Stegostoma tigrinum: one gene and its partners. The main gene of each other region encodes a partner of the protein of the gene in region 2 in a complex. Links are inferred from orthologs where the notes say so. Each region holds a gene or a part of one and is shown on either strand. Other genes may lie near its edges.

Evidence for each region.
Region 1: wash1 (region 2) and washc4 share a complex: the UniProt entries of both Homo sapiens proteins name them as parts of the WASH core complex. The link is inferred for Stegostoma tigrinum from reciprocal best matches to the Homo sapiens genes WASHC1 and WASHC4.
Region 3: wash1 (region 2) and washc3 share a complex: the UniProt entries of both Homo sapiens proteins name them as parts of the WASH core complex. The link is inferred for Stegostoma tigrinum from reciprocal best matches to the Homo sapiens genes WASHC1 and WASHC3.

The regions. Positions count from the first base shown.
Region 1 is NC_081378.1:53,491,471-53,499,002, forward strand, and holds the start of washc4 (WASH complex subunit 4), read right to left. Parts: upstream 3,199-7,532; 5' UTR 3,172-3,198; coding exon 3,111-3,171; intron 1-3,110. UniProt on the Homo sapiens protein: Acts as a component of the WASH core complex that functions as a nucleation-promoting factor (NPF) at the surface of endosomes, where it recruits and activates the Arp2/3 complex to induce actin polymerization, playing a key role in the fission of tubules that serve as transport intermediates during endosome sorting.
Region 2 is NC_081371.1:25,518,857-25,527,381, forward strand, and holds the start of wash1 (WASH complex subunit 1), read right to left. Parts: upstream 3,578-8,525; 5' UTR 3,346-3,577; intron 3,340-3,345; exon of another isoform or gene 3,159-3,339; intron 1-3,158. UniProt on the Homo sapiens protein: Acts as a component of the WASH core complex that functions as a nucleation-promoting factor (NPF) at the surface of endosomes, where it recruits and activates the Arp2/3 complex to induce actin polymerization, playing a key role in the fission of tubules that serve as transport intermediates during endosome sorting.
Region 3 is NC_081371.1:60,015,230-60,023,765, forward strand, and holds the start of washc3 (WASH complex subunit 3), read right to left. Parts: upstream 3,239-8,536; 5' UTR 3,195-3,238; coding exon 3,144-3,194; intron 1-3,143. UniProt on the Homo sapiens protein: Acts as a component of the WASH core complex that functions as a nucleation-promoting factor (NPF) at the surface of endosomes, where it recruits and activates the Arp2/3 complex to induce actin polymerization, playing a key role in the fission of tubules that serve as transport intermediates during endosome sorting.

The DNA of each region.
Region 1 (7,532 bases), on a different chromosome or scaffold from region 2:
AGCAATAAGTGGGATTCACTCATCAATTTTCCATGTTATCTTTGGCTGAATGCTTGGACTTTATTTAACTCAATTCCTTGAAGGTAGAGTTGGAAATAACAGGCAAAATTCTGCATTTTGGAGAGGGGCAAGTATGACAACATCATTCAAGAAATACTGCAAGGACATTCCTAGTAACTAAAAGCTGGTCAGTTTAATATTAGAGGTAGGTAAAATTTAGAAAAAATGAAAGCAATTAGAATGGGGACTTGAAGAGGTGCAAATTAATTTAGAAGAACCCACTTGGATTTTAAAAGGCAGGATGTAGTTGACTAATAGGCCTTCTTACCCTGAAGTCATGAGACAGGATGAAGGGAAAGCAAAGAACATTGCCAAAGTGATGTTTAGAAAAGTTTGACATCATACTACGTTAAACAGGCTGGGTAATAAAACTGAGGTTCATAAAATGAGGATCAGTGTCAGGGTAGATTAAAAAAACGGGTGCTATGGTTAAGTTGTTTATAGACTGGAAAGTCAGTACTACAGCCAATTTTTGTTTGATATATAGATATAATACAGTATTAATGCCACAGTTATTAAGGGCATGCAGAAACAGAGGGAACTGGCAACTCATCTGCATAGATCCTTGAAGATGACAGTACAAACAGCAATTAGGAAAGTATACATCATGAGCTTTAGGAAGTAGACAAATTGGGTACAAAAGCAGGGAACTTGTAGTAAATCCTTATAAATCTTTATAAACCGCTGGGCTATATGCTAGTGTGGAAATATGAATTCTGAAAATGCTGAGAAACAAGTGGAAGGTGGATGTCAAACTGTTGTAAAAGCTCAGATCAGGGTTTGGCTAATTGCAAGCTGAGAGAAATATCAAGTTTTGAGAAGATTTGTAGCTCAGGTTGAGGTTCTGGATGTGAGTTTGCTCGCTGAGCTGGAAGGTTAGTTTTCAGACGTTTCATCACCAAACATCACCAGTGAGCCTCCGACGAAGCGCTGGTGTTATGTAAATAGAAAGCGGGACATAACACCAGCGCTTCGTCGGAGGCTCACTGATGATGTTTGGTGATGAAACGTCTGAAAACTAACCTTCCAGCTCAGCGAGCAAACTCACATTTAGAGAAATATTTTTGTTTGTCGATCTCCATAACAAGACATCAAAGATAAGAACTACTACGTTGTGTTGACTACGTTAAAAAAAATCTCCTACGCAATAAACAAATGGCAGTGTGCAAGCAACATGTAACTTAATGAAATACTAATGGGTATTGAGGTTGGTTGTATCGCTGAGCTGGTTAGTTGTTCCTCAGATGTTTCGTTACCCTGCTGGGTAATATCATCCATGGTCATGGACAGGACCAATGTCATCTAGAAGATCCCCTGCAGAGACTGTGAGAAACACTATATTGGACAAACAGGAAGGAAACTAACAACAAGAGTATACGAACACCAAGTGGCTACTAAAAGACATGACAAATACTCACTCATCTCAATCCACTTTCAACTGGAAGAACATCAAAATCCTGGGACAAACTAAGCAGAGACAGGTGTGGGAATTCCTAGAAGCCTGGTACTCCACGAAGAAAGCCATCAATTAACACACAGAACTTGACCCCATATATACTCCACTACAAAGGAAAACCTGAAGTAAGGCAATCCAGCTCAATGGACTCCAGAGTTTAAAAACCAGGCGGGAAAACACACCAACACTTCATCGGAGGTTGCACTGACGATGTTACCCAGTAGGGTAATGAAACGTCTACGGAGCAACAAACCAGCTCAGCGAGCCAACCAACCGCAACACCCACAACCCGAGCTGCAAATCTACTCCAAAACCTTGGAGATACTAATGGGTAATAATGAAATTATCATAAAGTAATCAGGTTGGTGAAGTCAATGGTAAAATCATCAGAAACTTAATGTAGCACCAGGCTAGACATAAAAGGGTACAAGAAGTGTCCTGATCCTCAACACAATTAAGAGAAGATAATAGTCAACAGACACACAGGGCAAGAAGAATATAGCAAACGCCAACCAACAAGTCCAAAGAAGATGTCAATAGGAACAGATGGTAACAACTAAGTAAACACCATTTTGTCATGTTACTTATATTTCTACCAAACATACATACTACTGCTTATGCCAAATACCTCTGACATGCAGTGTTCATATTTATTATAATAAAAAGGTTCCAAACATTATTTTGAACTCAAAAGACCTAAACTGGAGCACTACATCTAATTTTGGTCACAGTGCCTGCAGAAGAACATGAGGGCCCACAGAAGGGTGCAGTAAAGATTTAACAGAATCAATCACTGGATCTTTAATCCTAGCTGGAGAATCTGGTGGTTTGCCTCGTTGAAGCAAAAGAGATCATGGGATGTCTAACAGATGTAGAATGCCAGGTTTAGATAAAACTCAGGTATTTCCATTATTTGATTGCACAAGGACAACAGTGCACAGATTGAAGATTTTGCATAGGAGATTCAAAGGGCAAGAAACTCTACTAATGAGGGTATTGGAAACTGATACAGTTAATGATTTCAAAAGACAAATGGAAACTCTGTTAAAGGGAAATAGATTTGTGGGGTTACAAGGATAAAACAAGAAAATAGAACTGACAGGTTTGCTCTAAGAGAGCTATGAAGAACTCATTATACCAAATGATCTCTATTATGATGCACCCATCAATTAACAGACCGAGGAAGGGCAATATCCGAAACGTTGACTGTTCCTTTCCTCCAAATGCTGCCTGGCCTGCTGTGTTCTTCCAGACTCCCGCTTGTCTAACCACTTAACAGACTGCACTGAGACACAGTAGACCACAGATTACATTCCAGCGTTAGGAACTGCTGCAAACAATGTTCACTGTACCGAATCGGATCAATGGTTAAGATCATTAGATGCTGATGATTTAGGGGAAACTGACAGCCCAAGGCTTGGGGGGAAGAGAATAGTGGAAAGAAGAAGAGTCCCTTCTATGGTGGGAGGGGGCAGATTGGCCGGGGGGCGGGGATAGATGAGAAATGGAAATTAGAAGAGAGTATTTCTCTGGGAAAGAAGGCTTTTCTTTCCCCATAGCAAAGCCCGGGCCTGAAGCACAGCTCGAAACTCACTCTGGGATCCTTCATCGAAGCGGTCAAACTCCCAGTCCCGGGCCTGAACATCCAACGCCATCTTTACATCCCGTGACCAGACCCAGGCAAGTCCCGCAACTGCACGCACTGCGCCAGCGCTCAGCCCCAATGCCCTCTGGGAGATGTAGTTTTCAGGTGAAAGGTAACAGGCTTAATTTTCTGAGATAATGGGAACTGCAGATGCTGGAGATTCCAAGATAATAAAATGTGAGGCTGGATGAACACAGCAGGCCAAGCAGCATCTCAGGAGCACAAAAGCTGACGTTTCGGGCCTAGACCCTTCATCAGAGAGGGGGATGGGGGGAGGGAACTGGAATAAATAGGGAGAGAGGGGGAGGCGGACCGAAGATGGAGAGCAAAGAAGATAGGTGGAGAGGGTGTAGGTGGGGAGGTAGGGAGGGGATAGGTCAGTCCAGGGAAGACGGACAGGTCAAGGAGGTGGGATGAGGTTAGTAGGTAGCTGGGGGTGGGAGGAAGGGATGGGTGAGAGGAAGAACCGGTTAGGGAGGCAGAGACAGGTTGGACTGGTTTTGGGATGCAGTGGGTGGGGGGGGAGAGCTGGGCTGGTTGTGTGGTGCAGTGGGGGGAGGGGATGAACTGGGCTGGTTTAGGGATGCAGTGGGGGAAGGGGAGATTTTGAAACTGGTGAAGTCCACATTGATACCATATGGCTGCAGGGTTCCCAGGCGGAATATGAGTTGCTGTTCCTGCAACCTTCGGGTGGCATCATTGTGGCAGTGCAGGAGGCCCATGATGGACATGTCATCAAGAGAATGGGAGGGGGAGTGGAAATGGTTTGCGACTGGGAGGTGCAGTTGTTTGTTGCGAACTGAGCGGAGGTGTTCTGCAAAGCGGTCCCCAAGCCTCCGCTTGGTTTCCCCAATTAATTTTCTGGCCTGTGAACTTAAATCAAAACTAACTTGAAACCTGAACTGTGTTTCTCCCTCCACAGATACTTTAGGATCTGCTCAATTTCTTTTTAGCACTTTCTGCTTTTATCTCTGTGTGAATGTGTTGGGGCAGGAGGCCGGATTCGGTTAGGAATTAAAAACCTGATTATAAAACTGCTTCATTTGCTGTTTGAGATGTCCAGTATTTCTGAGAGGTACTATATAAATGCAATGTTCAATCATGCTTTAAACGTAGTTAAAGACCCTTTGGGCCATGATGCCTGTGCTGACTCTAAGCTTATTCCACCATTTGCGAATACTAGTGAATATGATTGGTGAACTATAAGCACGTACAGCATTTTGAAATCTGAAAATTATCCTGCAATGAAGAATCTACTGATGACCATGAAGCCATTGTCGATTGTCAGAAAAAACTATTTGGCTCACTAATGTCCGTCAGGGAAGGAAATCTGCCATTCTCACCTGGTGTCACCGACATGTGACCCCAGAACCACAGCAATGTGGTTCACTCTCAACTGCTCTCTGAAATGGCCGAGCAAGCCACTCTGTTGTATCAGTCACTGCAAAGTCTCAACAAAGAAATGAAACTGGCTGGACCACATGGCATTGACTGAGGCACTGGAATAGACAACAACAGAAACAGCCCTGTAAACCCGGCAAAGTTCTCCTTACTAACATTTTAGCCTAATGCCAAAATTGGGAGTGTTGTCTCACAGCCTAGTCAAGCAGCAGCCTGACCTAATCATACTCATTGAATCATATATCATAAGACAATATCCTGGACATCAACATCATGAACAAAATAAAAACAGAAAATGCTAGAAACACTCCGTAGGCCTGGCATCATCTGTGGAGAGAGAGCAGAGTTAATGTTTCACATCCAGTGACCCTTAGAAGACGTCACTGTCTTCTTAGAACAATCCCATCACCATCTTTGGACGTGTCCTGTCCCACTGGTAGGACAGGTGGTGGCACAGTGGCATGCAATAGGGAAGGAGTTTTTCTGGGTCCCCTCAACATTGACTGCAGACCCCATGAAATCTCTTGGCTTCAGGTTAAACATTAGCAAGGAAACCTCCTGTTGGTTACCAGGTACTGTCCTCCCTCAGCTGATGAATCAGTACTCCTCATTGTTGAACAACACTTGGAGGAAGCACTGAGGCTAGCATGGGCGCAAAATATGGGTGATTTCAACGTACACCCCCAAGGGTGGCTTGGCACCTGCACTCTGGTTAAGCTTGTTTTTTATTCATTTGTGGGATGGGGGCATCACTGGCTTATGAGCATTTATTGCCCTTCCTAGTTGCTCTTGAAAAGATGACGTCTTCTCGTACTGCTGCAGTCCATGTGCTGCAGATAGAGTCCACAATGCTGCTTGGGTTCTAAAGGATACAGCTGTTATACTGGGTCTGCAGAAAGTGGTGAGAGAACCAAAAAGAGCAAAAAACTTACTGTAAAATTAGGGAGGCAACAGCCTAGTGGTATTATAGCTGGACTGTTAATCCAGAGACCCAAGTAATGCTCTGGGGACTCAGGTTTTGAATTCTGCCCTGGCCAATCTGGAATTAAGCATCTAATGAATTTATGAATCCTTGCTGATTGTTGGAAAAAAAACTATGTTTTAGGGAAGGAAACTGCAATCCTTACCTGCTCTGGTCTACACGTGACTCTAGACAGACAGCAATATGGCTGCCCTCTGGGATGGCCAATAAATGATGGCCTGGCCAGCAATGCTCTCACCCCTTAAATAAACAAACAAAAATATATTTAAACTCATCCTTACCAATCTACTCGCTGCAGATGCATTTGTCCATAGCAGTATTAGTAAGAGTGTCCACTGAACATTCATTGTGGAGACAAAGTCCTTACTTCACAATGAGAAAAATCTCCTTCGTGTTGTGTCGCACTATCATTGTGCTAAATGAGACAGACTTTGAACAGATTTATCAGTTCAAAACTGGGCAATTGAAGAGGTGCTGTGAGCCATCGACAGCAACAGAAATTGTACTTCAGCATAATCTGCAACCTCCTGGCCCAGCATATTCCCCACTCAACCAATACTATCAGGCCAGGTGACCAAGCCTCAGGGCCTTGATTGGGTTTTTTGAAGAGGTGACCAAGAAGATAGATGAAGGCAGAGTGGTAGATGTGGTTTATGTGGACCTTAGCAAGACCTTTGACCTGGTTTCACATCATAGACTGGTTAAGAAGGTTATATCACAAAAGATTCAGGCGAGAGTTAACCAATTGGATACAAAACTGGCTCAACAGAAAGAGGTAGAGGTTGGTGGCAGAGGGCTGTTGTTCAGACTGGAGGCCTGTGAACACTGGTGTGCCGCAAAGAGCAGCGCTGGGTGCACTGTTGTTCATCATTTATATACACATTTTGGATGAGAATGTAGGAGGCATAGTTAGTAACTTTGCAGATAATGCCAAAATTGGTGGTATAGTGGACAGTGAAGAAGATGATCAAACAGAACAATGGGATCTTGCTTAACTCAGCCAGTGGGCCAAAGAATGGCAGATGGAGTTTAATTTAGATAAATGTGAGATGTTATATTCTGGTAAGACAAACCAGGCAGGACCTACACAGTTAATAGAAAGGCTCTGGGCAGTGTTGTTAAACAGGGAGACCTTGGGGTGCAGAGACATAGTTCCTTGAAAATGGCATCACAGGTAGACAGGGTGTGAAGAAGGCATTTGGCACGCTTGCCTTCATTGGTCAGAGCATTGAGTGCAAGAATTGGGATGTCATACTACAGTTGTACAAGGCATTAATGTGGCCACACTTTGAGTACTGCATACAATTTTGATCACCTTGCTATAGAAAGGATGTCATAAAAATGGAAAGAGTGTGAAGAAGATTTCTGAAAATGTTACTGAAACTGCAAGGTTTGAGTTATAAGGAAAGGTTGGATAAGCTGGCACTTTTTCGTGGAGCATTGAAGGCTGAGCCATTATCTTATAGAAGTTTATAAAATCATGAGGGGCATAGACAAGATGAATAACAAAGGTTGTTTTTCCCCCAGACTGGGGGAGTTCAAAACCAGAGGGCGTAGGTTTAAGGTAAGAAAGATTTAAAACCGATCGAGAGGCAACCTTTTCACATGGAGAGTGGTGTGTATATGGAAGAAGCTGCCAGAGGAAGTGGTAGAGGCAAGTACAATTATAGTATTTTAAAGACATTTGGACAGTGACATGAATAGGAAAGATTTAGAGGTATATGGGATATGTGGGGGCACATGGAATTAGTTTAGTTTAGGAAATCTGGGCATCATGGACATGTTGAGCTGTGTGACTATGAATCTAACCCTGGTTCAATGGAGAGTGCAAGACGGCATGCCAGGAGCAGCACCAGGCATACCTGAAGATGAGGTGCCAAACTGGTGAAGCTACCAAGCAGGACACTTGTATGCCAAGCTGCATAAACAGCAAGTGATGAACAGAGCTAATTAATCACACAATCAAGGGACCAGATTTAAACTCTGCA
Region 2 (8,525 bases):
TTTAAAAACTGATTGTCATCATGTGACCAAACATAAGACATTTGTGAATGGATGCAGAGTACGAGATTCAAAAGGTCACATGAACTCCTCACTTAGGCCACAGCTCAAGTTTTATAGAAGATCTGAATCTAATTAAAAACGAGATACTTACTGTTTTCAAAACAATACATTTTATTGTTTCTACTAATGCATGTTACTTTTACAGTCAGAGATACACATAGCAGGGAAACAGACCCTTCGGTCCAACTGCCCCTCAGGGCCCTTTTAAATCTTTCCCTTCTCACCTTAAACTTATGTCCTCTAGTTTTGGACACCCCTACACTGGGGAAAAGGCCTTGACTATTCACCTTATCCATGGTCCTCATGATTTTCTAAACTTCCAAGGTCACCTCTCAGCCTCCAACGCTTCAGGGAAAATAGCTTCGGCCTTTTCAGCCTCTCCCTACAGCTCAAACCCTCCAACACAGGCAACAGCATTTTAAATCTTTTCTGAACCCTTTCAAATGTAACAACATCTTTCCTACAGCAGGGAGACCAGAATTGAATACAGTGTTCCAGAAGAGGCCTAACCAATGTCCTGTACAGCCACATGACCTCCAAACTCCCGTACTCAATGCACTGACCAATAGTGTCGAGTGAACCAACTGCGCTCTTCAGTACCCTGTCTGTCTGCAACTCCACTTTCAAGGGACTACAATCCTGCATCCCAAGGTCTATATGTTTAGCAACATTCCCCAGGACCCTACCATTAAGATGTACAAGTCCTGCCCTGATATGCCTTTCCAAAGCACAGCACCTCACCTTTGTCAAACTTAAAATATATCTGCCACCCTTTAGCTCATTTGATCAAGGTTCTGTTGTACTCTGAGGTAACCTTTACTGTCCACTACAGCAATTTTGGTGTCATCTGAAAATTTACTAACTATACCTCCTAGGTTCACATCCAAATCATTTGTATAAATGACAAAAAGCATTGGGCCCAGCATCAATTCCTGCGGCACACTGCTAGTCACAGGCCTCCAGTCTAAAAAGCAACCATCCACCACCACCCTCTGTCTCCTGCCTTTGAGACAATTTTGTATCCAAATAGCCAGTTCTCACTGTATTCCACATGACCTAACCTTGTTATTAGTCTACCACGCGGAATCTCATTGTTTATATGGACTTCAGTAAGATGGTCAATGTCCACCAGTCTGGCTTCATTCATCCTCTTCAAGCTTCATCAAGTTAGTAAGACACAATTTCCCCACACACAAAGCCATGCTGATTATCTTAAATTAGTCCTTGCTTTTCCAAATACATGTAAATCCTATCCCTCAGAACCCCCTCCAACAACTTGCCCACCACTGTTGTCAGGCTCACTAATGTATAGGTCCCTGGCTTTTCCTTGCTGCCTTTCTTAAACACTAGCGCAACGTTAGCCAACTTCCAGTCTTCTGGCACCACATCCGTGGCTATTAATGGTACAAACATCTCAGCAAGGGGTTCAGCAAATAACTTCCCTAGCTTCCCACAAATTTCTAGGATACACCTGATCTATCCCTAATATTTATCCACCTTTACGCATTTTCAGGCATCCAGGAGCACCTCCTCCGTAATATGGACAGTTTCCACACGTTCTCTAGCTTCCACATCCTTCTCCACAGTAAACATTGATACAAAATAATCAAGGACACACTCAGCCTCTGATCTTCAAAGATACTCAGACAGCATCTTCCAAGACCAGTTCCCATCTAAAAGGGCATAGGCAGAAGATATATGGGAACACCATCACATCCAAGTCACTCACCATCCTGAGTTGGAAATATATCACCGTTCCTTCACTGTCACTCAGTCAAAAACCTGGAATTCCCTCCCTAATAGCATTGCGGGTCAACCCACAGCAGGAGGACTGCAGCAGTTCAAAAAGGCAGCTCACCACCACCTTCTCAAGGGCAACCAGGGACAGGCAAGAAATGCTGGCCAGCCAGCAACATCCACATCCCACAAGAATAAAAAAACTTCAGGTAAATGTCCTCCAAAGCAGCCTTCAATGTACATAACAATGCAGAGTCAGAGTAGAAACCAATATCCAAGTTCCTCAACCATGAGGACAACCTCAATCATGATCTTGGGTTCATGTTGCACTACATGTAATCCTACCATTCTAATCTGTGTATAATCTTCCTTACCATTCTGTTTTGGCACCATCACCTTGATAACTTGTTATGATCTCAACCTTAATTAATTTATACAATTTTGGATTAATTGTTACCCTGGTTAAACCCTTGCAATGCAAGTCTTATATCTATCATGTTATTCCAGTCATTTAGTTTGTCTCCAGCACTATCCTAATTTTGATTTTTTTGTAATTATCAATCAGATCATAGGTCATCCCTTCACTTACACTACTTGTATTTATCTTTTGATACTCTTAATTACCTCCTTATAAATTCTGTGCTTGTGTGCTTCCCTCCACTTTACCTGACAAAGGAGCAACACTCTGAAAGCTTGTGATTTCAAATAAACCTGTTGGACTATAACCCAGTGTCAAGTGACTTCTGGCAAAATTCTTGTTCAGTATCTCACCCATCTGCAGTTCCACACAAAACATTGCTGATCTTTAAGAAGCCCATTTGCTCTCTAGTTACTCTTTTGTCTGTAATGTGTTTGTAGAAATGCTATGCATTCTCCATAACCCTGCTTGCCAAAGCTATGTCCTCTTTTTGCCCTCACGATTTCCCTCAAGTATAATTCTACTGCTTTTACATTCCTCTAGGGACTCACTTAATGCCTGCTGTCTGTACCTGATAAATGCTTCCTTCTTTTTCATAATCAGAATCTCAATTTCTCCAATCAACCAGCATTCCCTACATCAACCAGCCTTGCCCTTCACTCCAACAAGAACCTACTTTCCCTAGACTCCCATTACCTAAATTGTGAAGGCTTCCCATTTACAGCTGTCCTTTTATCTGTGAACGTCTGCGCCCAATCAACTTTTGAAAGTTCTGGCTTAATAACATCACCACTTAGCGACAACTGAAAGTGTTTTCACGATACTTGAGATTGAGGAAATAGACAGCGGATGTGTTGGTCAGAAAGAAGTGCTTAACGTCCATGAACGCCAGGGGTTACTGGTATCCGGTAGATGATTGAAACTGTAAACAGCTCGCTCTCACCCCAGTATCTGTAGATGACTGAAGCTGTGTTCCAGTCTCCGTAGATGATGTAAAACTCATCCCAATCGCTGTCGACGATGAAAGCAGTTTCCATTTAAAGGAACAAACTGTTGCATTTTCCTTGTCAGGAGGCCTGTGCCCACGCATGCGTACTTCACACCCGAGGTTTGCGCATGTGCATACTAACCATTACTTGCTGGACTCTCCCGAATAAAAAAACTAATTAATTAACGCCAACGCCGTCTTCTAATACTCTATCATCACATTTTCATTCTTCACTATTCAAACACAAACATCCTACTTCATAACACAAAGTTTCGAGCTCTAACGACCACAAGCAGGCATCTACGCTTGCGCATTGCTACGACATAGGCGCATGCATATTTTCTCCAGCACGGGCCCAACCAGCTCAGCCCAGCCCAGCAACACACAAATAAACCCCGCCCAACCACGAACAAACCCCACCCACCACCGCAAGCTCCGCCCCCGGATGTTTGTGATTCCTTGTCATCAACATTGAATGAAAATCCTTTGGCTCAGAGGTGGTGACGTTATTACTGCGCCGCAAGACAAAATGGGTCTAGGCCCGAAACATCAGCCTCCCTGATCCACTGATGCTGCTTGGCTTGCTGTGTTTGTGCAGCTCTACATCTTGTTATCCAACAAGACAAAACCTGGTGTGTTTATATCCTGCACACTAATAGCCATAAGACCATAAGACATAGGAGTGGAAGTAAGGCTATTCGGCCTGTCAAGTCCACTCTGCCATTTAAATCATGGCTGCTTCGCATTTCAACTCCACTTCCCTGCAATCTCCCCGTAGCCCTTAATTCCTTGTGAGATCAAGAATTTATCAATCTCCACTTTGAAGACATCCAACGTCCCGGCTTCCACTGCGCTCCGTGGCAATGAATTCCACAGGCCCACCACTCTCTGGCTGAAGAAATGTCTCCTCATTTCCGTTTTAAATTTACCTCCTCTAATTCTGAGGCTGTGCCCACGGATCCTAGTCTCCCTGCCTAACGGAAATGACTTCCCAGCGTCCACCCTTTCTTAGCCATACATTATCTTGTAAAGTACTTCAGTAAAGAAGTAATAGCACTTCATTTAATTTTACGAAGTTAGACCCTGTGTCTCTCTCATGGATGATTATGTGGTTGTCTTTTCAGTTATTCCCTGTGATTGCACACTCGAACTGCAAACTGGGTAGAATAACACTAAAACCAAAAGTCAGAGGAGCAGAAATAGGCCATTCAGTTCATGCAAACTGCTCTGCCATTAAATGACATCTTGGCTGATCCGATAATTCTCAACTCCACTTTCCTGCCTTCTCCCCATAGCCCTTGATTCCCTTACTAATTAAAAATCTGACTGTCTAAGCTTCGAATGTAGTTAATCCTCCAGCCTCAATAGCCAAAGGTAAAGAATTCCACAGATTGATAGAATACCCCTTGAGAGAATAAATTTCTCATCTTCATCCTAACTGGGAGAAGCCATACTTTAAGATTATGTCCTCTGGCCTTGGACTCTTTTAGTAGGGGAAGCAACCTTCTATGCTTGTTTAATCCCTAAAGAATCTTGTATGTTGCAATAAGGTTGCCTATCATTCTTCTAAACTCCAATGAGTACAGGCCAACTCAGCCTCTCCTCAAGACAGGCCCTCTGTAGCCGGCATCTGTTCACTTGACAGCCTCCAATGCAAATATATGCTTTCTTATATAAGGAGCCCAAAAATAGTTACAATATTCCTCAACTGTTGTCTGATGACAGTTGTTTTAGCAAGAGTTCCCTATTTTTATATTCGATTACCTTTGAAATAAAGGCCATCATTCCATTTATCTTCCTGATTACCTACTGAACTTAGATGCTGTATTATTCTGATTTATGCTCTAGAAATCCCAAATTCCTCCGTTCTGTAGCTTCCTGTCTTCTTTCACCATTTCACTAATATTCAGCTCCACTATTCTTTCTTCCAAAGTCATGTTACAAGCTAACTAGCCTATAGTTACCCATTTTTGCCTCATTCTCATTTTAAGTTAAGCTGTTCCAATGGCAGTTTCCCAATCCTCTGGGACTTTTCCAGAATCTAAGGTTTCTTGGAAGATTGCTACCTGTGTGACCACTATTCCTGTAGCTACTTCTTTTAATATCCTAGGATGTCTCCCATCAGGTCCAAGTGACTTGTTGATCTTTAGCCCCATTAGTTTTCTTGCTATTTTTCTTGTCATATTTAGTGTATTTATTTCCTCTCCCCCTTTCCCCCTTGCTAATTTAGTAATTTTGGAATGTTATTCATGCCTTCTGTCATGAAGACTGATGCAAGTACCTATTCAACCCTTCTCATCTGGTTGCCTATTGTTATTTCTTCAGCCTCATTCTCCAAAGGGTCAATGTTAACTTTGGCATGTCCCTTCCTTTTCATATATTTAGAGATGCTCTTGCTGCCCATTTGATATTACAAGCAAGTTTACACTCAAAGTTTATCTTCTCCACCTTTACTTTTTATTCCCAATCCCCTGGCTGATCACTAAGTGGTGCCATGTTGTATGTTTTTCCTTTCAGTTTGATGCTATCCTTAGCTTCCTTGGTTAGGCAAGATTGGGCTTATCTCATTCCTAGAGACTTTCATCCACACTTAGATGTATCTTTGTCATGAACCATGAACTATTTTCTTTAACATCTGCTCTTGTTGCTCACTCGCCTCTTCTGTTTGACTCTTTTCTCAGTTCAATCAAGCCAGCTTGCCCCCATTCTTTTAAATTGCCCTTATTTAAGTTCAGTTCAGTTGTTTTTAACCCAAGTTCCTCCCTCTCAAACTGAATGTTAAATTCTGCCATGATATGGGACCTTTTCCAAGGGGACCTTTTACTTTGACATCATTTATTAAACCTGCCTTTTTGACAATAACCAGACCAAAAAAGCCTGATGCCTGGTTGGATCCACAATACATTGCTCCAGCAAACTGTCCTAAATATGCCATATAAGCTTTTTCTGTGGTTGCGTCTGCCAATCTGACTATCCCAATCGACATGAAGATTAAAGTCACTCATGATTAACATACTGCCTTTTTAACATGCCCTCATTATCTCCTGATTTGTTCTGTGTTCCAATGTATAGCTACTGTCAAGAGGCCTATAGACTACTCCTTCAAATGTCCCATATTATTTGCATTTAAGTAACAGTCATGACCAGAAGGCACCTCAAAGCACTTTATAACTTTGAATGCTTTTTGAAGTGGTCACTATTTACTGCAGGAAATGCAGCAGCCAATATGTGCTCAGGAAGCTGCCACAAACAGCAATATGATACTGACCAGGTAAGCTGTTTTTACTTTAATATTGACTAAGGGATAACTGTTGACTGGGCCCCAAAGATAACTCCATCCTCTTTTAAACAACAGGTTCGTGGACAAGGGCATGCATATCTACCAGAAAACCAACCAGCACCCTCTTTGCATGCTGTATAAATAGTGTATCCTGGTTCAATCAGAGAAAGCAAGAACTGCAACTGCTGGAGTCAGAGAGCACACAGCATGGAGCTGGAGGAACACAGCAGGCCAGGCAGCATTGGAGGGGCAGGAAAAATGATGCTTCAGGTCAAGACCCTTTTACCTGCTGTGTTCACCCAGCTCCGCACTTTGTTATCCCACACTGTCTTGTCTCTGTCCCCTGGCTCAAGTCTTTTTCTGTGTCGTGGTTCTGATGAATGCAAAAAGCTTCATCTTTGTGTATCCTTTCAACAATGTTTAGTGACTTATATAGGTTCAATGTAACAGTGCTGCTCTCATAGTCTACATCCTTATAAATAACACTTGATATACTGTACGCATTGTTCACCAGGCCCTCAGCCTGTCCTGCAAATTCTAATGATTTATTTGTATGTGCACACAGATTCCTGAGCTTCTGCTCCCACTTTACAGTTGTGCCCTGTATTTTATATTGTTTCTCCATTATCTTTATTATTCAAAATGTGTCACATCACACTTCTCCATAGTGAAGGTTAGCTGCCTTCTTTCTGGCCACTCCACCAACTTGCCCATACCCTTTTGAAGTTGCATGCTGTCCTCACAATTTAAACTGCTTGTCTCATGGGTAGATTTTGAAATCGTCCCCATCACACCAAGGTCCAGATTGTTTGTAAATGTTAGGAAATTAAAGCATTCCAACTCTGATGCTTGGGAAACTCCATTACAAGTTATTTCCTAGCCCATCTATTATCTATTAACCATTACTGTACTCTCTGCTTCCTGTCACTCTGCTGATTTGATTCAGGTTGCTAATGTCCATTTTATTCCACGAGTTCTAACTTTGCTCATAAGCTTGTTGTGTGATATCGTATCCTTCTGGAAGTGCGTGTACATCACATGGTCATCCACCCATGCCATTACCTCTTTAAAAAAAAACTCCAATAAGTTGGTTAAAAATAATATTCTTTTCAGAAATCCATGCAGGCTCTCCTCAATCAGTCTGCATTTGTCCTATGTGACTGTTAATTCTGTCCATCATTATTGTTTCCAGGAGCTTCCCAAACTTAGGAGTTAAGCTGGCTAGTTTGTAGCAGCTTGAATTATCCTTATATCTCTTTTTGTACAAAAGTATAGTGTTTGCAATTCTGCAGTCCTCTGCTAACATCTTTAGGTCTGATGAAGACTGAAAAATTAATACTAGTACCTCTGAAATTTCCATTCTTACTTCGGTAAGTATCCACAGAAGCATCTAACCTTGTCCTGTTACCTTTTCAACTGTAAGTACAGGCAGCCTGTCCAATACCACTTCATTATCAAGTTTAAATCCTTCTAGTGACTGAGTTTCCTCCTCTGTCATCATGGCCAGCACAGCATTTTCTACCTTGTTATAGGTAAAGACAGATACAAAATGTTAATTTAATATTACATTTAGATCCTAAGTCAAGCCTTTGCTTCACTGTATAAATCTCCATTTTGGTCTCAAATTGGCCCCATTGCTGAGGTTAACTTTGTGGAGTTTCTTTAGTTAAAGCATATACATTTTGTTCTTCTTTTTGTCACTTTACCAACTTGCCTATTTTTTTATTGCTCAACCATAAGCCATCTTTTCATTCGCTTGATGGTGAAAGGGAAGATGTCGATTGAAGGGGATGCGGGGATGGTGGGGGGTCGGGGTGGTGTGGGTGGGGTAGCATATGCAAGTGGTGGTTCAATTCAGTAGATTTAGGTTTGTGAAATGATTCCTCATTAATGACCTTCTGACAATGGTCCATTATTGTTGGTAGGGTCCTGCCCTGAGGAAAACCAGTCAGAGCTGAAAATTGGAATCCTGATTCATTCCTAATGGTATAATCACGGGAACATTTTACCTAATAACTGGCCCTAATAAACAAAGTGAGACA
Region 3 (8,536 bases), about 34 Mb from region 2:
ACAGTCAAAGTATAATCCCAAAGGACTCCTTTATAAATCCAAAGGAAAATACATCCCTGGTACAGTACATAAAAGACTACTCCTACAATACTCACACCAGACTCGCTGTATCTAATATCTCATAAGGTTTAAGTCATTTGTAACTTCATTTTACAGATTGGAACTGGCCCATCAAGTCCACTCTGCCATTTAATCATGGCTGATGGGCATTTCAACTCCACTTCCCTGCACTCTCCCCGTAGCCCTTGATTCCTTGCGAGATCAAGAATTTATCGATCTCTGCCTAGAAGACATTTAATGTCCCGGCCTCCACTGCGCTCCGTGGCAATGAATTCCACAGGCCCACCACTCTCTGGCTGAGGAAATGTCTTATGGTCTTATAACTTCTTCCTGGAGATATTATACGCCTGATGATCAGAGGATTCGATAGGGTGGACAGTGAGAGCCTTTTTTCTCAGATGGTGATGGCTAGCATGAGGGGACATAGCTTTAAATTGAGAGGAGATAGATATACAACAGGTGTCAGAGGTAGGTTCTTTACTCAGACAGTAGTAAGGGCAATGGAATGCCCTGCCTGAAGCAGTAGCAGACTCGCCAAGTTTAAGGGCATTTAAATGGTCATTGGATAAACGTACGGATGATAATGGAATCGTGTAGGTTAGATGGGCTTCTGATTGGTTTGACAGGTTGGCGCAACATCGAGGGCCTGTAATGTTCTATGTTCTATGATTTATACATATTCAGCTTTTAGAAATCCCTTCAGGGTTTTATCTAACACTTCTGGTCTGGGACTGACACTGACTCTTCACTCTGAGATAAGCTAGTTCATGATAACTTTCCCTTCTCAAAATCACTGGACCTAACCACCATCCTTATTGAACACTTTCACAGGGCTTCCTCACTCATAGTCAAACCGAATCTAAAAGTTCCAGTAGTCACAAACAAAACTCGAAGATCCATTATTTATCTTGCTAATCATAAAACAATCTAAGATAAACACAAATCCATTAGCTGTGCTCAAAAACCCATTCACTCTAAAGTTAGACCTCAAAAACAATTTTAAAAGAAACCACAATTTCTGAGCCAAAGACTAGATATTAAATACAAACCAAAAGAACTGCGGATGGTGTAAATCAGGAACAAAAACAGAAGTTGCTGGTAAAGTTCAGCAGGTCTGGCAGTATCTGTGAAAAGAATCGGAGTTAATGTTTCAGGACCAGTTCTAATAAAGGGTCACCAGACCCAAAACATTAACTCTGATTTTTTCTTCACATAAGTTGCCTGAGCTGCTGAGCTTTTCCCCCATCTTCTGCTTTTGTTGTGGACTAGACATTAAAGTTGCAGACTGAGTTTGGGGCTGCAGTTGGGGATCCATATCAAAGTTTCGGGATCAAAACTAAGGATTAAGTATTAAGATACATAGAATGTAGGAGCAGGAATTGACCATTTGATCTCTCAAGCTTGCTCTGCCAATCATTATGATCATGGTTAACATCCCTTAACCCTTTTAGCCACAAGAGCTTTACCTACCTCTTTCTTGAAAACAGTGTTTTCCACTTGCTGTGCTAGCAAATTCCACGGGCTCACCACTCTCTGGGTGAAATTTGTCCTAACCTACTAAAAGGTTTATCTTGTATCCTTAAGATATGGCCCTTGGTTCTGGACTCCAACAACAGAAACATCCTTCTAGCATTTAATCATCCAGTCCTGTTGAATTTTACAGATTTCAATGAGATCTACCCCCTCATTTTTCTGAATTCCAATGAATACAATCCTAACTGACTCAACCTCTCCTAATATATCTTCCTGCCATCCTAGGAATCAATTCAGTGAGCCTTGACTGCACTATATCTAGAACAACTGCATTGTCCCTCAGATATTGAGGCCACAACTACACACAATATTCCAGATGCTGCCCTACCAAGGCCCTGTATAACTAGAGTGAGACATTCCTGCTCCTGTACTCAAATCCTCTCGCTTTGAGGCCAACAGGGTCATTTGTCTTCTTTACCTTCTGCTGCACCTGTGTGCTTGCTTTCAGCTCCTGGCGAACAAGGTCACCCAGGGCTTGTTGATCATTCTCCTCTCTCAATTTAGTCATTCTTGTAATAATCTGCCTTCCTATTTTTCCTACTAAAGCATATAACTTCACATTTATCCACATGACATGATCTGCCATGCATTTACCAACTCACAGCCTGACCAAATCACATTCTGACATCTTCCTCACAGTTCACCCTTCCTCTTTGTGTCATCTGCAAAGTTTGAGATATTACATTTAATTCCCTCATCTAAATCATTAACATTTAATGTGAATTGCGAGGGTCCAAGTACCAATCCCTGCCAATATCCCACCATTTATTTCCACCCTTTGTTTCCTGTCTGCTAACCAATTTTCAATACACTACTCTCAGATTGATGTGTTTTAGCTTCACACATTAATTTCTTATATTGGACTTTGCGGAAAGGCTCTGAAAATCCAAATAATCCACATCCCAGCTCCCCTGATCAACTCTACTAGTCACATCCGTTGAAGAATTCCCGTACATTTGTCAAACATGATTTCCCTTTTGTAAATTCATGCTGACAGGTATTTAGAAGTTATAATTACATGCTGACATTAGGATTTACAGGTTATGGTTAGTGGGTAAGGATTAGAACATAGAACATAGAACAGTACAGCACAGAACAGAATTAGGTGTTAAAGCTGCGGTTTAGGGGTTTACGTTGAAATTAAGGGGTTATGGTGGGGATAAAGGGGTTAAATTGGATGTAAGGGGGTTAGGATTATTGTTAAGGGGTTATGGTTGGGGTTAGGGTTGGGATCAAGAGGTTAAACTGAGTTTAAGGGGTTTTGGCTGGGAATTAAAGGGTTAAATTGAGTTTAAGTGGTTATGGCTGGGATTAAAGGTTTAAATTGAGTTTAAGGGGTTACGGCTGGGAATTAAAGGGTTAAATTGAGTTTAAGGGGTTATAGGTCAGGTAGGGGAAGGACTCAGGCTGCGGTTAGAGGTTAAGACTAGGGTTTATGGGTGGAAGTCGAAGGTTAGGATAAGATTTAAGGGTTACAGGCTCTCAGTTAACTTTTAAACTATCGCTGATGAAAGCACAGCTCCAGGGATCCCCTGTCTTTCCCCCCTCACCCGGGTCAGGTCGATCCCTGATCCCACCAACGGGAGTCCGTCCGCGTCCATTCCGCCCGGAAACAGCTCCTGACCCCCTGACCCGGAAGGGAAGCTTCGACGGGCAGGGGCGGGAGCACGCGCGTGACCGCAATCACCCGGGGCCGCCAGGGCCGAGTGTGTCACCGTCACCGGGCCCCAGGCCTCGGGCCTAGTGTCCCACCGGAGAAACCCCCATTTCATCACCAGGAGGAAGAGAGCACCCGGTGACGTTCAGATTGACAACAGTCTTCAAAGGTGCTGGAGAAACTCAGCAGGTCTGGCAGCGCCTGTGGGAGAGGGACACACACACTGAGACCTCCCTTCAGACCTGGGGGGAAAACTAGGACCCAAAGGCCTTCCAGGGAAGGCAGGAGGTGGGCAAAGAAACGACAACATCGCCAGACCTGCTGCGTATTTCCAGTAACTTCGTTTTAGTTCAGAAAGGTCCTTGTTTCTGATTGTAGTACCTCAGTTAATCCACCATCTCCTGTTCATTTCTATATATTTCCCACAGCGTTTCCTCAGTTCCCCCGATTCCTCCTCGTAGCACAGGCGCCAACCCGTGATTGTCAATCTGACCAGTTAAAGATGCAGACTCTTTGAACATAAACGGTGGCTATTTGCCGTCTAAGCTTTTATTTAAAAAAAATTGTGCCGAGGGATGTGTTTGTCACTTTGACATGGCGGAGAGGTTTCTGCACTCCGATTCTTTGACCGATGCCGTCGGGACGTGGCATCAAGGCTGGGGACGGAGGCGTCAAAGTGCGGTCCAAACAGTCCTCTATGGCAGATAATAAAGTGTGGAGCTGGATGAAGGGTCTAGGCCCGAAACGTCAGCTTTTGTGCTCCTGAGATGCTGCTTGTCCTGCTGTGTTTTTCCAGCCTCACACTTTGTTATCTTGGATTCTCCAGCATCTGCAGTTCCCATTATCTCTGATACAATCGTCCTCTATGGCAGAACAGGCGAAGAAAAATCACACGAATTGTAATGGTGGAAAAAGCTGCAGATGCGAGACAGTGCTGGTGTTAGCAGTTCAACACATCACTGAACTCTGACAACAAACGGCTCGGTGGTTTGCACTACAGCCTCACAGCGCCAGGGACCCGGGTTCGATTCCAGCCTCTGTGCGGTTTCCTCCCACAGTCCAAAGATGCGCAGGCTTAGGTGGATTGGCCATGCTAAATTGCCTGTAGTGTTCACGGATGTGTGGGTTCCAAGGGGTGGTGTGAACTTGTTAGGCTGAAGGGCCTGTTTCCACACTGGAGGGAATCTAATCTTTTAAAAAACACCAGTCAAAATCACATGGACAATGGTAACACCCCAAGATCCCTATACTAACATAGCAAAAATGTTTTTTGCTAACCATAATCTGGTTTCCAAGCCTTGTGGCAATGGAAATTCGGCAACAGGTTCAGGGCTGTGAACACGAAAAATAATCTGCTGTCATGAGATGGAGGTCACTGGGCACCTATGTTGGTGTCATTGACAACAGTATCTGTGACTGAACAATTCCCTTCAGAATACCTTCTGTTCACCCTAAAAGGGAAGGGGAGCTAGAAAAGACACCCTAAAATTAGGCTGACCCACTATCTCCTGGCAGGGGAACCATAATCCCGTGGGATTACCATCTTGGTGGTCAAAGAGAGAAAACTTTAAATTGCATAACTTGGTATGTTGGAACATGAGAGGTAATCTTAAGAGTTACCATCCGGGAGGAAGTGTGTACTTATATCATGTGAACTATCAAGTTTCAATATTATCATGAGGTAGTAGGAACTGCCGATGCTGGAGAATCAGAGATGACAAGGTGTAGAGCTGGGTGAACACTGCAGGAAAGCTGACGTTTTGGGTCAAGACCCTTCTTCAGAAATCTGGGTCTCAACCCGAAACATCAGCTTTCCTGCTCCTCTGATGCTGCTTGGCCCGCTGTGTTCATCCAGCTCTACACCTTGTTATCTTTATATTATCATCCCTGCCCTCAATGACATCTGCTGTCCTGGGAAGGGGCATGTGTGGGGAAAGACACCTACTGGAAAGACAAAAGTAACAAGTGACCCTTGTGTCCACAGAGTTGATTTGCCAAGTGGAATAGGATCTTGGAGTCATTGCTTGAACTCCCTATTTCAATAAATGAAATGTATTAACATTATTTCACCTTCTCCTAGACTATCAAACCAGCAGAATAAATGTTCTTCTTTCAAATTAAAACAAAATATTGCAGATGCTGGAAATCAGAAACAGACACAGGGAATGCTGGAGAAACTCAACTGGTCTGATAGAGTGGAGAGAGAAACAGTTAATGTTCTGAGTCCAATATGACTTCTTAAGAACAATTCTGCCAGCGTTTTGTGTGCTTGTTAAACAATTTCCTCAAGCTACTCTTATAAACTTTCTAAGAAAAATCCGTCAAATCATCCCTAAATTTTCTATAATCCAGGGAATACAGGTCTAGTTTGTATAATCTGTGCTCTTAACCATGGGAGCCCAGGTAACATTTTGATGAATCTAAAATAACTCCTTCAATATCCTTCCTCATAGTCCCATTAATCATTCCATTGGAGCACTTCCTATTTCCTTTTTTTACTCTGGTGGCAATTCAGTACATACTTTTTTTCTGTACCTCGGCAGAATCTGGATAGATAGGACTTGGCTGTTCTTGTTGTGGAAAGCCCTTGAAGACAGACTGTGATCTTTGTCTTTTTAAATAGCTTCTTGTTTTTCTGACCTACAGTTATACGGTGTATAGTTTTAAAGTAACTTTTTATCTTCATTTCTGTTAAGAATTGTACCAAGGCACTGTGTACCTAAGATGGCACTGTAAGTGGTGATTTGTAAACTTCTCACTGTACTTATCTGAGTACGTGACAATAAAGCTAATTCAATTCAATTCAAATTACTGAAAGCTAACATACTGGTACAAAATTCAGTTAAGACAACAAATGGTATGTCGGCCTTTATCGCAACAGCATTTAACTACAAGGTTTACAATGTCTTTCTACAATTGTATAGAACCTTGGTGAATATTCACATGTGGGATGTGGGCGCCACTGGCTTGACCAGCATTTGTTGCTTTTCCCGAGTAAGACCTTGAGGAGATGGTGCTGAGCTGCCATGGACAGTTGTAGTCCATGTGCTATAGATATGCCCATTATGCTGTTAGGGAGGGAGGTATAGAAATTTGACTCAGCAACACTGAAGAAATGGTGATATATTGCCAAGTTAGGATGGCACATGGCTTGAAAGGAAGCCTGCACATGGTGTTTCCATGTATCTGCTACCCTTGTCCTTCTAGATCAGTGATTACAAACCCTTGCAATAACATGGCACACTCCAATGAGACATGTAAAAATTCCATGGCACACCGACTTTTTTCAGCTGAATTGATTGCTCATAAATGTCACATTTACTTGCATTTACTTTGGTTACAGCCTTACTAGACAGGTTTGCAAGATAATGCATACAACAAATTATCCATTTCATCTTCAACTGTGTTCTAAGACTAGGACTAGTGGCTTAACTAAAACAAATTCGAAGCATATTCACCTCAAAATCTGTGCTAAAATGGAAACATATCTAGGCAGGTAGTCCAGCTCAACAATTACACAAGTGACTGTTTACTATGGACATGCAATTTCTTCTCATCTTGGAGATACAATCCTTAATCATTGCATATGCTCCGACCAGATGTTTGGATCTGCCTGTGCAACCAGGCTTCATAAGAAGTGAATATCCCACCTTCCGCACATGCAAGGTATCAGAAGTCTATGTGAAGGGGTGCTGCTTCCCGAGAATTTCATGGCACATTTCTCACCTTTCCACATTTGGAAAACTTCTGTTCTAGATGGAAGTGGACATGGATTTAGGAGGTGCGGTATAAGGATCTTTGGTGAATTTCCGCAGTAAATTTAGTAGATAGTATACGCTGGTCCTCCTCAGTGTCAGTGTTGGAGGGAGTGGATGTTTGTGGATGTGGTTACACTCAAACTGCTGCTTTGTCCTGGGTGGTGTCAAGCTTCTTCAGTGTTGTTGGCGATGCACTCATCCGGGCAAATGGGGAGTATTTCATCACACTACTGACTTGTACCTTGTAGAAAATGAACAAGCTTTGGGGAGTCAGGAGATGAGTTACTCACTGCAGTATTTCTAGCCTCTGACCACCTTTTATAGCTACTGTATTTATATGCCTAGTCCAGTTGAGTTTCTGGTCAATGGTAACCCCCAGGATGTAGACGGTGGGGGATTTAGTGATCTATTGCCATTGAATATCAAGGGGAATGGTTAGATTATCTCTTATTTGCATTTGGTAGATGCTAGTGTTAGTGCTAGTTGTATGGCAAGTTCTGGAGCACATGTCTTAAGTACTGTTGCTGGAAAGTTGTCAGGGCCCATTGGCTTAGCAGCATTTACTGTCTCTAACCAATACTTGATATCATGAGGAGTAAATTGAATTAGCTGAAGTCTGGTATCTGCAATGCCACAGCTTTGGAGGAGGCTGAGATGGATCATTCATTCAGCACTTCTGGCTGAAGATTGTTGCGACACTTTTATACTGATATGCTGGGTTCTCCCATAATTGACGATGGGGATAATTGTTGAGCCTCCTCCATTGATTTATTTAATTGTCCACCACAATTCATAACTGGATATGGACTGCAGAGCTTCGTTCTAATCCAATACCTGGAGTACTTTGTGCAGTTCTGGCCCCCTTACCTGAGGGAATGTAATGGTGGTTGACCGGACAGATCCCTAGAAAGCCGGAACTCTCCTAGAAGAAGGGAGCAAGGGGCCTGTATTTTCTGGAGTTTAAAAGGATGAGAGATGATCTAATTGAAAATTATAAAATTCTTAATCCATCTGGACTTTAGTAAGGCATTCAACAAGGTTAGATCACACAGAATAGAGGGAGAACTAGCAACTTGGATACAGAACTGGCTAGAAGGCAGAGGAGGGTGGTGATGGAGAGTTGCTTTTCTAGACCAGCAGCGTGCCACAAGGATCAGTGTTGGATCCGATGCTTCTCGTCATTTATGTAAATGATTTGGGTGTGAACATAAGAGGTATGGTGAGTACGTTTACTGACGACATCAAAATTTGAGGTGTAGTCGACAGCAAAGAAAGTTACCTCAGAGTACAATACAATGGGATCTTGACCAGACGGGCCAATGGGTGGTGGAGTGGCAGGTGGAGTTTAGTTTAGGTGCATGTGAGGTGCTGCATTTTGGAAAGGCAGTTCAGGTCACGACTTAGAATCTTAATGGTAAGGTCCCAGGGAGTGTTGCTGAACAAAGAGACCTTGAAGTGCAGGTCATTGTTCCTTGAAAATGGAGTAGTGAGTAGATAGGATAGTGAAGAAGGCATTTGGTATACTTGC